Coturnix japonica: one gene and its partner. The protein of the gene in region 1 purifies or fractionates together with the protein of each later gene. This does not show direct contact. Links are inferred from orthologs where the notes say so. Each region holds a gene or a part of one and is shown on either strand. Other genes may lie near its edges. The genes, in order: JUP and desmoglein-2.

Region 1 (7,753 bases):
ATGGGTGTTGGGGCTGCCCCATCCCGGGAGAACATCCTGCCCTGGGACACATCCCAGCACCGTCCCTGCAGCCCCACACACCACCCCCTCTCTCCACAGTCCAACAAGATCGAGAAGGCGGTGTCTGCTGCTCACACCTTCCTGCAGAAGAACCCCAAGCATGAGATGACCCTGAAATACCTGAACTACTACAGGACGATGGTGGATGTGGATGAATACCTCGTGGACCTGGAGGCTCAGCCCTATGAGGTAAGGAGGGGACAGGCCGGGGCGGGAGAAGGAAGAGGAGCATCCCACAGGGTTGGTGTGTGCCCAGCAGAGCCCCAGCACCCCCACCTTCCTGCTCCAAAAAGCATCTCTGGGGCTGGTGCCAGGGATGGAGCTGTGTCTGCCAGGCACAGAACAGCTCTGGGGGCTGAGCCATCTGCTATGGGGCTGGGCACGGGGCCTGGAACCCAGCAGGGAGGTGAGCAGAGCCCTCTTGGTCCCACAGCCCATCTTTGTGCGCTCAGTGAAGCTGTACAACAACGGGGATTTCAGGAGCAGTGCAGCTGACATGGAGCAGGCTCTGGCTGAGTACTACAAGGCGTACGAGGACTGCCTGGCTGGCTGCGAGGGCGCCTACGAGCTGCAGGAGTTCAAGGACTTTTACCCGGCCATCGCAGGTAGGTGGGCAGTGGGGGGGGGGGGGGGGTGATGCGGGGCAATGGCTGACACCTGTTCCCAGACCACTATGTGAGCGTGCTGCGCTGCAAGGTGGGCTGTGAGGGCGAGCTCACCCCCAACGTGGGCGGCTACTTCGTGGAGAAGTTCGTGGCCACCATGTACCACTACCTGCAGTTCGCCTACTACAAGCGTGAGTGTGGGCTGGGGGCTGGGGGCCTGAGCCCCTGGGGGGTCCCAGGGCTGGGTGTCACCCTCCATGTCACCCCCATGTCTCACTCTGCTCCTTGCAGTGAATGACGTGCGGGATGCGGTGCGCAGCGTCTCCAGCTACATGCTCTTCGACCCGGATGACGCGGTGATGCAGCAGAACTTGGTGTACTATCGCTTCCACCGCGAGCGCTGGCACCTGCAGGAGGAGGATTTTGAGCCCCGGCCGGTGAGAGCCCCCCCAGCCCCTGCCATGGGGCTCTGCTCAAATGGGGGCTGACATGGTCCCCGCTCCCCCACCCTGTGCCCAGGAAGCCGTGCACTACTACAACCGCACAGCTGCGCAGAAGAAGATGCTGGAGTTCGCCAGGCAATACCTGCAGGCTGATGATGAGGTGGGTGACGGCCACTTCTGGGGGTCCCATGCAGGTGGGGGCTGTGGGTACCTGTGCAGTTATACAGACAATAGGTGAACAGATGTTCTGTACAAAAGATTATCATGATAGAAATATGATCTATGACATGCTATCCATGGTCTATCTATGCTATCCCACCCTGTGCTGCAGATGGAGGTGGATGATGGAGAGGACCTGCAGGATCTGCCTTCAGACAGCGAGTTTGAGGGTGAAGGGGACTATGAGGAGGGATTCTTCGCAGAGTGGTGGCAGGAGCCCAGCACCAAGGGGGACAAAGCAGACGAAGGTTCCTGACTGGGGACTGTGATGCAAAGCTGGAGGGGGGCTGCTGCTGCATCCCAGTGTTACCATCCCCTCTGTTTGCAGAGACGCTGTGATGTGCCAGGAGAAGGGGACTCTGGCCCTGACGGAGCAGGATGGTGGTGGCCGAGTGGTGCCATTCTGGGGCCTCCAGGCTGCAGGCTCTTGCTCCATGCACGGGAACACGGGTTCACTGGGAAGGGCTGATCCTGCCCAGTGCTCCCAGCAGAACTGCCCCATCTACAGGGACATGCTGCCATAATTCCCATCCGAGGAGCAGCCGCACCACTGTGCCACCACCTGCCTGGTGCCCCCTGAGCCCCCCCAGCCCCGATGTCCCTGGGAGCCCCATAGTAGCGCTCCATAGCAGCACTGAGATTTGCTGTGCCCCTTCATTGCTCCCCCAGGAGCCACTGACCAGGGGGCCAACAGCAAACCCCTGTGCTGCCTTATGGGTTCTGTGCACGGTGCTGGTTCTGGCAGCAGCCCACCCCCACCGGCAGCTCCCAGAGCCGCCCCTTCCCCCCGTCTCGGTGCTGGGTGCTGCTCCTGGTGCACGGCATCCCTGTGCCACTGTACCCCGTCACCACCTCTGCCCCACAAGTGCCTTCATCTCTCTCCCAGCAGCCCCCAGAGCTTTAAGCTCCATTAATTTAATACTTCCCATCTCGCTTTTATATTTTTCGCTCGTTTATTTTGTATTTTAAACGTTCTGGTGCTGAACTTGGAATAAAACTCGGTCCGCTCTTTTGACGGCCGCCTCTGCCCGGAGCAAATCGGGACGGACACAAGTGCCATGAAAGACCATCTGGGGGGGGGTCGGTCGGGTCGGGACCCCCAGGCCGGGCGGTGGGTGCTGGGCGGCCGCTGGTGCAGCCACGGCGCTGCTTTGTGCCTGGCGGCCGTCGAGCTGTTGGCAGCACGAGGCTCCGCCGGGACTTGGCTGCGGTGACTGAAACCGAGAGGCTGAATCACGGCGTGAGCCGCGGGCGAGGGAAGGGACGGGATGGGGCGGGACGGGACGGGATGGGACGGGATGGGGTGGGATATTATGGGATGGGATGGGATGGGATGGGATACAATTGGATGTAATGGGATGGGGACAGAATAGGATATAGAATGGGATGGGGAGGGGTGGGATGGGATGGGATATTATGGGATATTATGGGATATTATGGGATGGGGTGGGATGGGCGCTGCCGCTCCCCGCCCTGCTCCAGCTGCGTGTCTCCCCCGCTCCGACCCGCAGTGCCGCCCCCCGCCCCCCCTCCATTTACCCCCCTCCATTTTCCCCCCCTCCATTTTCCCCCCGTTGTCCCGACCCGGTTCGGTCCCGTTCGAACCCTCCCGGCTCCGCCCCGTGACGTCACCCAGGTGGGCCCTCGGTGCGCTCACGCCCTTCCCCACCCGCCCTCGCCCCGCCCCCGCCCCGCCCCGCCGCCCAATCAGCTCCCGGCGCGCGGGGGGCGGTCTCCTCCCCGCCAATGGCGAGCGGATAAACACGGGGAGGGGGCGGGGCCCGGTCAGCAGCGGCGAAGACGGACGGGAAGAAGAACCAATGGCAAGCGGGCAGCGCTGTGAGGGGCGGGGCCAGGCGGGGCGGGGCGCCGTTCGCCTTTTGTTCGTGCGGGAGCGGGGCGGGCGGCAGAGCTGCGGGAACCGGGAGAGGTGAGAGACGGGGGGGGCGGGCGGGGGGCGAGGGGGGGGGGCCTGGGCTGGGGGGTCCCGGCATCGAGGGGCTCCGGGCTCCGCGCGGTGTCGGGCTGTTACCGCCCCCCCCCCCCGGGGCAGCGCCGCGCCCGGCTGCGCTCATCCCGTCCGACCGGTCCCGAGCAGCCCCGGGGCTGCGCTCACCGCCGGGCTCGGTTCGGTTCGGCCCAACCGGCCCCGTGCGGTTCCGGTGCTGCCGCTGGGCGCTGCCCCGGGTGGTTGTTCCGGCGGAGCCGCTCACCTGCCCCGAGCAGCCCCGGGGAGCGGGACGGGCTGCGGGAGGGGAACGGGGACGGGGGGGTTAATGAAGCGGCTCCTGTTCATCCCGCCGCGCTGACACCGAACGTCGGGGCAGCGGAACTGAGCGGGGAGCGACCGGCTCGTATCGTCGTCACGTTCTCGTTGCGTTCGCTGGGTGATTAGTTTAATTAATCGGCGCAGATTAAAGCACGACGCGGGGCCGCTGCTGGGAGTTGCCCGCGGAGGAAGGCGTGGGTTGTGCGCGGGGGGACGCGGTGGGAGCGTGGGCGGCTCCCGGGGCGCAGCCCGGGCCGGGACGGAGCCGTGCTGACCTCAGCGCTGTCCCCGCGTCCTGCCGTGCCCTCCCCGGTGCTGGTATCCCCGGGCCCCCCCTGTCCCCGCTCCGGGGCTGTCCCTGCTCCGTCCCTTCTCTGTCCCTGCTCCGTCCCCTTCCCACCCGCAGTTTGGTCCGTCGGTGGGGGGCGCGGATCCCCTCCCGTGTCCTTGTGGGCGTGCGGCGGGGCAGTGTGCGGAGCGGAGCAGCCATTAAGGTCCTTCCACCTCCGAAGGCCGTAATTGTTCACCGCTTTGGAGGATTTCCACAAAGTGGTTTGAAAAACCCATTTGGCAGCGAACTCGGCTTTAACAGGTGGGCACAGGACGCGCCTGCGCAAAGCCCGGGTGGCGGTGGCCGGGGGTCGTTTTATCCCCGGTTCTGGTGCCGCTCGCTGGGCGATGAGGAGCTGCTGGGGGGGGCTGAGCTGCAGCTGCCCGACTCCGGCGGTGGGGAAGCGCTGGCGGAAGCGTGGGGGGGGCTGCAGGCCGCCCCAACCCCCCCCGCCCCCACAAACAATGGCTCCCATTCCATTGTCTGGTGCTGCAGCCACTCCCCTGGGGACAGCGGGGATGCCGGCATGAAGCACCTCGTGCCCCGTCCACATGTGGGTCCCCGTGGGCTGTGCCGTTGGCACCACTGCCCGTGGTTTGTTCACACCTGGAGACCACGGAGCGTTTCGCCTCTGAGCTGTACATGAAGGTCGGGTGCTGCCCTCCTCCTCCTGGGAATCCTTCCTTGTTCCCCCATCAGACCCCCAGCCGGTTGGGGGGTGCAGTTGGCAGCCCGCAGGGAGGAGCTGCGCTGTGGGGCTGCAGTACAGGGTCTGCATGGGGAGCTCACAGGGCTCTAATTGAGGTGTCTGTACCACAGCTCATGCTGCTCCTGAAATTTGAAATTAGGCTGGCTTCTAATTAGCAGGAGTTAAAAAGAAGTTTCATTTCTATTGAAGCACTGCAAGTCTGCCTTGGACTTCTTGTGGCACAGTTGCCAGCTCTGACTCTTGTTTTAGGTGGTGTTTTCCCACCTCGGTGCTTTAGGGCTGTGCCTGGGATAGGCAGCAAATGGGGTCTGGGTGGCAGCTGTGGGTCCCAGTTGGTCTCCTGGGACCTGGGGTGTCCCCCACGGGGCTGTGCCCTGCTGGCAGCGCCTGGCTCGCAGTCAGCCCTGGAGGATGCAGCACTTGAGCTGATGCAGCATTTCCAGCTCCACCAGGGTTGGGTTTACCCCGTTTCCCAGGGACAGGGTTGGGTGTTTGGGGATGGAGCAGGCACGCTGTCTGTGCATGGGAGAGGCTGCCAAAGAAGTCTTAAAACTTGACCTAAGCAGCTTAAAAACACATCTGTGCTTACAGTGCTGCTGGCCAGAGCTGAGCTGCAGAGTGCTCCAAAGCTGCATCCTGTGCTGCCAGCTCAAGGACGGCCCAGCACAGCCCTGGATGCCACGCTTGGCGTGTTGCTGCCTGCTCTGCTCAGTGCTCCCGAGGCCCACATGCTGCAGGGGTGGTGCAGTGCACCCAAAGCTTTGGGGTCCAGTGGTGGGGGGGGCAATGCTGTGTGTGCTTCATCACCCCCTCCTCCCCCCGCTCCCCTCCATGCTACATCAGTCCTTCAGTGCATCCTGGGGTTTGTCCTTACTGTGTGCTCACTCTGTGCTGGCTTTGGGCTCAGGAGCCTCCTGGGCCAGTGCATCCTCCTGCCTCCATGGGGTGAGAGCTGTCTATGCTCCCCCCTTGTGTGCAGTGCACTGTGCTTTGTAAGGGTGGTGAGGGGAATACAGGAGGAGTGAGGGGCAAGATGTTTCTAATTAGACAGGCTTGAGATATCTCTCCAAATCTGCCATCCCCGATTGGTTTTTCTGCAGCTGCTGACAGGCCTGGAGGCATTTCATAATGCTTGAATTGCTCGGATCTAAAATCCCTCCATGCAAAGGGCAGGAGCCTTGTGCTGGAGCGGAGCTCCTGGTGGCTCGGGGCGCTGAGCTGTGCTGGGGCTGCCATGGGATGCTCAGTGCTCTCTGAATATCCCACACCTGCTGACCTGACCCATTCCCCCAGTGCTGCGGAGATGCACAGGGGGGGTCGTGCAGCACTGCAGCTAAGGCTGCAATCGGCCTCGTGGCATCATCGCCATGCATTGGGCAGGGGTCTGTTGGGGGCATTGCTGGGGGGGGGCAGGTGCTGGCACTGAGCTCCTCCAGCACAGTGCGGAGCCCTGGCACTGTGAGGCAGCCGATGCTGCTGGGTGGTGGCACAGCTGCTCCATGCTGGCAGGGCTGTGCCAGTCCCCACCTCGGTGCCAGCAGCAATCCCACTCCTTTACCCACATCCCCGCCGTCTCAGGGATGCGTTGCCGTGCTGCTTTGTGCAGACACAGGGCTGGGATGGCAGGGCAGGAGCGTTCACTTTGCTGGTGGCAGAGACCTTTGGCTGCTGTGCGAGCGCTGCTGTAATCGCAGTGACACCCAGCCGAGCCCTGGTGACAAATCATTAACCTGCTCCGACAGGCCGTGTGCTGACGGGTGTTGGCGATAATTCCCTGTGAAGCATTTGAACTTTGCAGATGTAATGCAGTTGGATGGGGAAATGAAGCTGGGGCGCAGCAGCCCTCAGCCCTGCTCTGCTGGCAGATCTGGGGTGGCAGAGCCCTGTGCCATTGGACACCATTATTCTTGCTGGAAACACACATGAGCCTCCAAGCTGAAATCCTAAAAGCTGCAATTATTGCGTTCCTGAAGGACAATTTGTTCCTGGTGCTCTCTAAAACAAAACATTTCTTTTCTTATCCAGATGGAGCTGTTGGGATTGATTGCACCGTGCCAGCTCTCCTGTCACGGACAAATGGGGAGCTCCCATCCTCCCCACCCGTGTCTGTAATGAGACGTGCCACCTCTGCTGGCTGAGGGCTGTGCCCTGCTGGGCTGGGGGGCACCTCCCCTGCTGGGCTGCTTAGTGGGGAGGGGGCTGGGGCGGCAGTGCGGGATCCCTGCGCGGTTCCCAGGATGGGGCAGGGTGGGGTGGGACGCTGGTTCCACGTGCGGGAGCGGCTCCTGCTCATGGCAGGGATGGGTGTTGGCGCTGAGGGCGGAGGGAGGCCCAGAGCTGTTCTTCACCTGGGAGCGAGCCAGGACAGCGGCCACGGTCCCGTGTGGGTTGTGAGGGTCCCCAATGTGGGCAGAGCCGTGGGGAGGGGGGGGGGTTGTGGGTGCTGATGGAGCTGGAGGGGGAGCTGAGCTTTGCCCACAGTGTGTGCAATGGGGCTGCACCAATAGCTCAGCATCACATCTGGATTTGGTGGGAATTGATAGAGACACAGACGGCCCCGTGCTGGGAGCTGATGTGTGGCGGTGCTGTGTGTGCTGTCACGGCAGAGGAATGTGCAGCAGAGCACCTTGTCCCCTCGTGCTGGCAGTGCAAGAACATGACAGCCCACACTTGCCTGTGCTGGAGCTGTCAGCAGCTGCTCTGTGGGGCGGAGATGTGGGGCTCTGGTGGGGAGCGGTGCTGGGGGAGCAGTTGGGGCTGGGGGTTGAGCACCAAATAAAGGTGGCTGTGCTCAGCTCCTTTGTCTGTGGGTTGCCGAGGGCTGCGTGTGCACAGCTCTGGGATGGTTCTCATTCCCTTTGAACCCTTTGAGTTATCTGTGCTGCAGAGCCCTCCTGGAAGCAGCCCATGTGAGCGCAGAGCTGACTGTAACGCTGCCCCTTGATGCTGGGGAGCTCTGAGAAGTGCCTTTCTCTCCCTGCCTGCGCTGCTTGTTCTTCTGAAGGATTCTGTTAAAGCCTATTGAAGCTCTGGTTGTTGGCAGTGGTGCCAGACGTGGGATGCCGCTGCTCCGGCACTGCTGTGCTGTCTGGGCAGCTGGGAAGGGCAGAGGTTACT
Region 2 (7,300 bases), on another chromosome or scaffold:
AGCCTGGAGGAGAGAAAGTTCTGGGGAGGATCTGGGTGGATGAGAAGTTTTCTTATATGTGAAAGGTGACTGTCATGAAGAGGGAGTTGTACTGTTTCCTAGTTACGTTATCTACGTGACAAAGAGAGAGATTCAGCTTGTGATTAAGACATTTCAGTGTAGCTGTTTTGGTGTCTGTTATAGGAAACACATGCAGTGGATGTAGGATGCACATATTTGATTGGATCAAACTGTGCTTCTGAAGCAAATCTCCGGAGTGTGTCAGTCTGACCCTTTGAGACTGAAACTGTCCTGAGAGATGTTTCCATCACTTCTGTGGCTGTTTATTCCATGGTGTCAAGCAAATTCTAGTCTGAAGTAAAGCCCACAAAGCTTTACTTTGGCACTGTTATGCTCTCAGCAGCAATGCTGTGATCTCCATCACTGGTTTTTAGAAACAGGTTAAACAGATGTTAGGCAGCAGATGGATGTTACTCATCCTGCCCTAGGGCAGGGAGATGGACTCAGAGATAACCTCCGATGTCCTTTCAGCCCACTTTTGTAAGTGTGCAGGATGTCCACTTTCCAGTGGTCTTCAACATGAAACTGACCTGCACAACATGTGACAAGACCACATTTATAGGGTTTCTAGTTTCATAGCAAAGCAAATAGGCGTATACACCTTGCTTACTCATTCTGCATCTTTCCAGTATAAAATGAAGCTGTGTGTTCAAAATCTGTCTCTGCAGTCACTTCCTTCCCAAGACATGAGCAGGCATTTGTGCAAGAGCAGCCTTGAACTCCCTATACATGTCAGTCACTCCCTCCTTTTCCCCTGCTGCCTCACCCATTCCAGCTGCTTTCCAGCAGTATTTCATTCCATTTTTCTTACTTCAGGCTTCAGGTTTTCTGACTAATTTTCTGTAACAATCCAATTGTCTTTTGCCAGTGCCTTCCCAGCTCCATGTCATCAATAGATTTCATCAGTAGACATCTGGGTTTTTGTGCTGAGGCTGTGATTCACACCAAGTGACAGATGGGGGTTTTCCCTACTAAGCCACTTAATAGAAGGCAGTTGTAGTATATTGAAAAATACATCTTCCAGATGTATCTCTTGCATCTCAAAAATGAAATTGCCATTTTTAAACACCTATTTTAGATCTCTTTAAACTTCCTTAGGGGGTTGCCTATAGACCACAAACTATTATAGGTTAAAAAGCAAAGAACCAAAATCATCTTTTTTAGCAAGAGAGCAGAATGCTTGAGGCTCTTTTATAGGACTCTACTTCTAATGACTAACGGGATTTTCTCTACTTCCTTGATGGCTCTTTTATCTTAGTCCACTGAGATATTTGCAAACTTCAGACACTTTAGTTTACATTGTGGTTTTCAGGCTTCTGATACAAAGAAACTGCTCTCCTGCTACTTTTCCCAACCTTGTCCACTGCTGTGTAGTGTTGTGTGAGAAAGAGGGAATGAAAATATTCTATCAAGCTACGATGTAGCAATCAATGTGAGACTGAAGGGATGAATAGTTAAAGCCCAGTTAGCAGTTTAAAAACCAATCAAAGAGAAGATTTAAAGTATTTAACATATTCTCAGTGGCCTGGATGAAGGGATAAAATCCACCCTCAGCTAGCTTGCTGATGATACAAAGCTGGGTGGAGTGGCTGACACACCAGGAGGCTGTGCTGCTGTTCAGGGAGACCTGGACAGGTTGGAGAGTTAAGCAGAGAGGAGCCTTATAAGGTTCAACAAAAGCAAGGATAGAGTCCTGCACCTGGGCAGCAGTAATCAAGTGGCCAGCAGAAAAGAGAAAAGTGATGCTCCCCTTGTACTCTGCTCTTGTGAGGCCACATTTGGAGTACTACATCCAGTTCTGGGCTCCTCAGCTCAAGCAGGACAGAGAATTTGTAGAGTCCAACAGAGGGCCACAAAGATGATGAGTGGCCTAGATGGGAGAAGGCTGAGACACCTGGAACTGTTTAGCCTGAAGAAGAGAAGACCTGGGGGATCTTGCCAATGCTTGTAAATATCAAATGGGTGGGAGTCAATTGGATACAGTCATTCTCCTTTCAGTGACAGAACAAGGGGCTAGGGACACAAACTGGACCACAGGAATTGCCACCTGAACATGAGAAAGATCTCTGCTGCAAGGATGACAGAGCACTGGCACAGGATGCCCAGAAAGGTGGTAGAGTCTCCTCCTCTGGTGGTATTTAGAACCTACCCAGATGCCTGTCTGTGCAACCTACGGTAGGGAACCTGCTATAGCAGGTAACTAGATGATCTTTAGAGGTCCCTTCCAAGCCCTGTGATTCTATGGTTTACTGACTTCAATAGAAAATCACTTCTCTAAGCCTACTTTTCCTTAGGCCTTAGGTCAATAAAAATCACCTTTGGAGCATCAGGGAATGCAAACACAGGATCTCTGATAATTTGACTGAGGATCCAATTTCTTACATTTAACAAGAGACACCTAATTGCAGTGTCTTGGGGCATGCATAGCTATCCAGGGCTCTTAGTGGATAAAGAAATGTACTGCTAAAGTGACCCTGAATTAATAATTATCATGACTTTCATTACAGATCTGTCTCAGTTGTGGAAATGGACTCCATTGGAAGGTAGGAGTTAATGCTTTTCTTTATAAGTGCCTGAAGGCCTGAAGATGGATCTGGAAACCAGCAGGACAGGAGGAGGAAGAAGTGTCAGTGGGAATGAGGGGTAGCTGGCCAAGGATAGCTGAGACAGTGAATGGGTTTCTTATTGCATGTATCCTGTATTACAGAAGAAGCTGAGTACTGGTCAGTATTGATGGGACACTAAACAGCATAAGGCAGAAATAGTTGTCTACAGCAGTATCAGTGGCAAACTTCATTCCACATCTGGTGACAAGCACTTAAATCTGCCAGAATGGGTGTATTATCAGCATACCCTGGTCGTGTGAACATGCCTGTGTATTTAAACCTTGTGCTTTATATGTCTGTCTTGATTAAAAAATCGCTGAAGTTTTTCTCTTCAAACAACTTCAGGAATGTATAGTTTTAAATTGTGCTTCAGAATGGTAGTACTGCTCTGTGATTTCAAAATTAGTATTGTAACAGTGTATAACCTGGACTAGCACAGCAATAAAGCACCGTATCTTAAATGACCAGATGTTATGCTGACGTTTAGCTTTGTTTTTTTCACAGATTTACAATCGAAGTGGCAGGCATGGCGCATCATCTCATCCCAACAGCCCAGTCAGACAGAAGCGAGAATGGACAGTCCCTCCTGCTTTCATACGGGAAGAGGAAGACAATTCCTATAGGAATCCAATTGCTAGAGTAAGCCCCGAAAAGAGATAAATACAGAATACACAGAGATGAAATTATAAAATAAAGATGTGGCTGCCCTAACCACAGACACAGATGTTTCTTTAATTTTAATGAACTATTGAATACTAGTAGAAGACTGGCACATTTCGTTCAGTTTCCTTCTGAAGATGAGTTACTCTTGAAGCCTGATTTGACTGAGTCTCTCATCTTTTCCCACTCAACAATTTTCTTAATGCTTTTGGAAATGCAGTTGTTTTTGAATTTTTTTCACTCTACCACCCTACCAGAATTACTCAGCTCTGGTTCAGGTTGGCTAGCAGCTCCTAAAACTGCTGGTGGTGATTGGACAGAAGGGTGTATGTGGAGCAGTCAGACTCTTCCTTGAACTTGTATGCCATCCAGCTTTCTTTGTCCAAGTAGTCAGAGTTTTCTTCTCCCACAGACCTCTCTGTTCTGTGGTTCCCAGCTGTTGCACTGTCTGTCACATTCCTAATCTCCCTTGGACTAGATCTTCAAAGAGACCACATAACTTTTTCTTCTCTCAGCATCTACGCACTGTAAACAATGTAGAAAAACTGTATTTAATACTAATTTTTGTTTGATCATTATGAAAATAGCTAAAAGATTGTGTCTTTTTAAACACGGTTTTATTTACCAATTACTATTTACTCTATCATGTTCCTACTAGATACATTCTGATCTTGAAGACACAGGGATCGTGGTAACTTATACTATATCTGGTCAAGGAGTTACAGAACCCCCTTATGGACTGTTTGTTATCAATGGAAAGACCGGAGACTTGAACATCACAGGGAGGGTTGACAGAGAAAAGACTCCAAGGCTATTAGTAAGTTGAATATTAACTTTACCCTCATAAGTGCTCTTCTTTCCTTTTTTAATAAAAATATTTATTATTTCAAGAAGTTTTAACATTTCTGGACATATATATATAAATGTGTGTGTTTGTGTATATGCACATATATATAACTGCTAATATTGTTATATATAATGTTGCTATATATTTAAATTGTATCCGTACTCACATATATGTATTACAGTCACTCATTTTCTTATTGTCTCTGAATTATTTCAGTTGCGAGGTCATGCTCTAGACAAGACAGGAGCAAAACTGGAAGAGCCAATAGACCTCCCAATTAGAGTTCTAGATATAAATGACAATCCTCCAGTGTTTTCACATGAAGTTTTTGTTGGTTCAATTGAAGAATTAAGTGAAACAGGTAACATTTATTTTTTTTTTTCTAATTTACCTTTTCTGAACTCATTCAGAAAGTGAATGTAGCCATTGCAGCAGCATATCTGTAGTAACAATAGTGCATTATCTTGCTTGTGTAGGACAGGTTATCCAAGTTTGAATGCATGCTTTTATTCAGGGCTGAGTTGTGCAGTGTGGTGAAGGGAAAGCATGTGCATAAAAGCAACAGAGAACAAGACTTCCTCTTATGCCAACTTTGTTTTTGGGTCAAAGCTGACATCAAGCCAAGGACTGTAGTCCTTAAGTAGACACTGCATGGAGAATTCCATCCATCTTCTGTCCTAGCAATTCCAGCCTATTTTGGAGGCACTCAGCTCTGCTGTGATTAAGAAAAGTTCTCCTTCATTTAATAGTCTGGAGAAGCACTTTAATATTGAGAGAGAACAAGTTGTTGTCAATTTTCTTATTAATGACAGTAAACATAAGAACAGGTCTTGGTGCAATAGACTGTTTCCCAGAGTAAAATGTCCTAATAAATACCTGATACTACGTCCATTTCAATGCCATGGTAATCTGAAGATAGAAATTACTGACCATCCATTTGTTTGAGGTATTAAGTTCCCGCAGCTGCCTTTCAAGTCAGTAACAGCCATATGGTAACTGTCTCTCTTCCTGAATTCCAGCTGGTGCTCAAAGCCAGGTAATAGTGCTGGACATTGACGTAGGCCCTTTCCAAGTAAAATATCCTGTGTCGTGCACATAAGGGGCCTGCAGCATGGAGGCTACCATTTATTTTGAATTAAGCAGTTGGAGGGCATCAGTCAGTAAAGAGCAGATGTTGTATTGATGTTCATGTACAAAAGTTGTCCAGCTTCCTTTAGGATGATATATGAGGGAAACGCAATTTACTGTCTGAATTATGTTGCCATCTTCTTTATACAGTATCTAAAGTTTTCTGTCAGAACTCTTGTGAGAGTTCAACTCGTTGGATAGTTGTAATGAATTGAATTCTACAGCCTTCAGATCTGTGTTGATAGGGTAATTTTTGTTTGTGATTTTTTAACATAAATTGTTTTTCAAGAACACTTTTTCAGCTCTATTAAATTAGCAGAGGTAGGGGCATCAGAAAATTGTGCATTGCATCTGGCAGCACACTCCTACCTGTGGCATTACAGTAAAAATACTTGCCAGTGCATGGCAGCGTAACCAAGTATTGTATTGTGTTGTGGTTTTTTTCAGGTACAATTGTGATGAGGTTAAATGCAACGGATGCAGATGAACCAAATAACCTGAATTCCAAAATTGCTTTCAGGATCATTTCCCAAAGCCCAAGTTCTGCATTCAGTATGAATAAAGATACTGGCGAGGTTCGAGTAGCAGCAATAAACCTTGACAGAGAGGTAAAAAAAAAACAAACATTCTCTGTTGATAGTATTCTTCTGGTACCTTTTATCACTTTTCACTTTCCTTCATCCCAGTTGGGTTTAAAGGACCATTCCTTGTCTGTCGAATGTATGTTTTCCAGTGGCTTTGTGAGGGGATGAGGTAAAGCTTGCTTTCACCCTGTCTCTTTTTTTCTCACAATGCCAGTTGCTGGCTGTTGTTTTCTGTCCCTTCCGTGCAGCTGGGCAGCAGTTACATGACACAGGGGTGTTGTCTCTTTGCTGGTGTGCCTGTGGGTAGAACACCCAGGTCACCACCTGTAAAGCTGCTGGTTGAATCTAGACTTTTGTAGACTGCTGTACAAATCAGGTCCTAAAGGATAAGTGATGGTGCTGCTGTGAGTGTGTCGAAAGCCAGATATTGTTGGCAACTTTCCCTATGCTTGCATGTATTTTCACTGACCAGCAGATGGTGATCTTTATATTAGCTCTCAGAGGCTGCAGACACCATCCTTTTCTTAATGTGCAGGTATTGCTGCATCCTCTTTGTGGCTACTGAAATTTTTCCACTTTTGTATTTGAGCACAGTCTAACTCTTTGGGAGGAAAATGCAAAACTCCCAAACCCTTTTCTGAGACTCAGCTTTACTCCAGTAGGAAGAGCTATGTATAAATTGGCCATTGCTTGAGAGATTTTGACAAAATAAGGCACAGGTAATACAGTAAGGCAACACAGATTTAGACTAGTTTAACACTTCTTCCTTTTTCTTTGCTAATTATGACAGACACAAAGTAGCTATTCTTTGGTGGTGGAAGGGAAGGACCGTGATGGTGCAGCAGATGGGAATAGTGCTACATGCTCTTTAGAAATCAAAATTTTGGATGTCAACGACAACCTGCCTGTGCTTGAAAGTTCTGCAGTAAGTACATTTACCATCATATTTGGTGTGTTCATACACTTGCTGGTATCCCGTTGCTTAAGAAAACTTTATGCAGAGTTCCTTCTACTGATGAAATGGTGTAGATCGGGACACCTTTTTACATTTAAATCTTTTTATCCTTGCAGTTTGAAGGAAGCGTTGAAGAAAACAGAGCGAATGTGGAAATCATGAGAATAAAAGTATTTGATAAAGATGAAGAGTTTTCTGATAACTGGTTGGCAAACTTTTCATTTGTCTCTGGTAACGAAGGTGGCTATTTTCGTATTGTAACAGATACCAAAACAAATGAAGGAGTTTTGACTCTTGTGAAGGTTAGTGTATTCTTTTGGGGTCTTTAAGTATTAGAGTAATTGATTCCCTTAATAGAGATTGATGTACAAATTACTCACAGTTCGTAAATAAACTACAAATGTATGTTGTGGATGCTCCTCTTATATTTTTTGGTAATTCTATTCTATGCTATAGTAAT

The links.
Region 2: the proteins of JUP (region 1) and desmoglein-2 purify together in Homo sapiens (affinity purification with western blotting; 3 studies listed by BioGRID and IntAct, with this or other methods). This does not show direct contact. The link is inferred for Coturnix japonica from reciprocal best matches to the Homo sapiens genes JUP and DSG2.

What each region holds. Positions count from the first base shown.
Region 1 is NC_029542.1:4,303,764-4,311,516, reverse strand, and holds the start of JUP (junction plakoglobin), read left to right. Parts: upstream 1-3,159; 5' UTR 3,160-3,257; intron 3,258-7,753. Other genes in the region: P3H4 (endoplasmic reticulum protein SC65), read left to right, coding at 100-249, 494-665, 728-856, 957-1,102, 1,185-1,268, 1,440-1,575, 1,656-1,666. UniProt on the Homo sapiens protein: Common junctional plaque protein. The membrane-associated plaques are architectural elements in an important strategic position to influence the arrangement and function of both the cytoskeleton and the cells within the tissue.
Region 2 is NC_029517.1:95,850,248-95,857,547, forward strand, and holds part of desmoglein-2, read left to right. Parts: intron 1-2,567; coding exon 2,568-2,603; intron 2,604-3,170; coding exon 3,171-3,305; intron 3,306-3,984; coding exon 3,985-4,143; intron 4,144-4,389; coding exon 4,390-4,534; intron 4,535-5,748; coding exon 5,749-5,909; intron 5,910-6,675; coding exon 6,676-6,810; intron 6,811-6,956; coding exon 6,957-7,142; intron 7,143-7,300.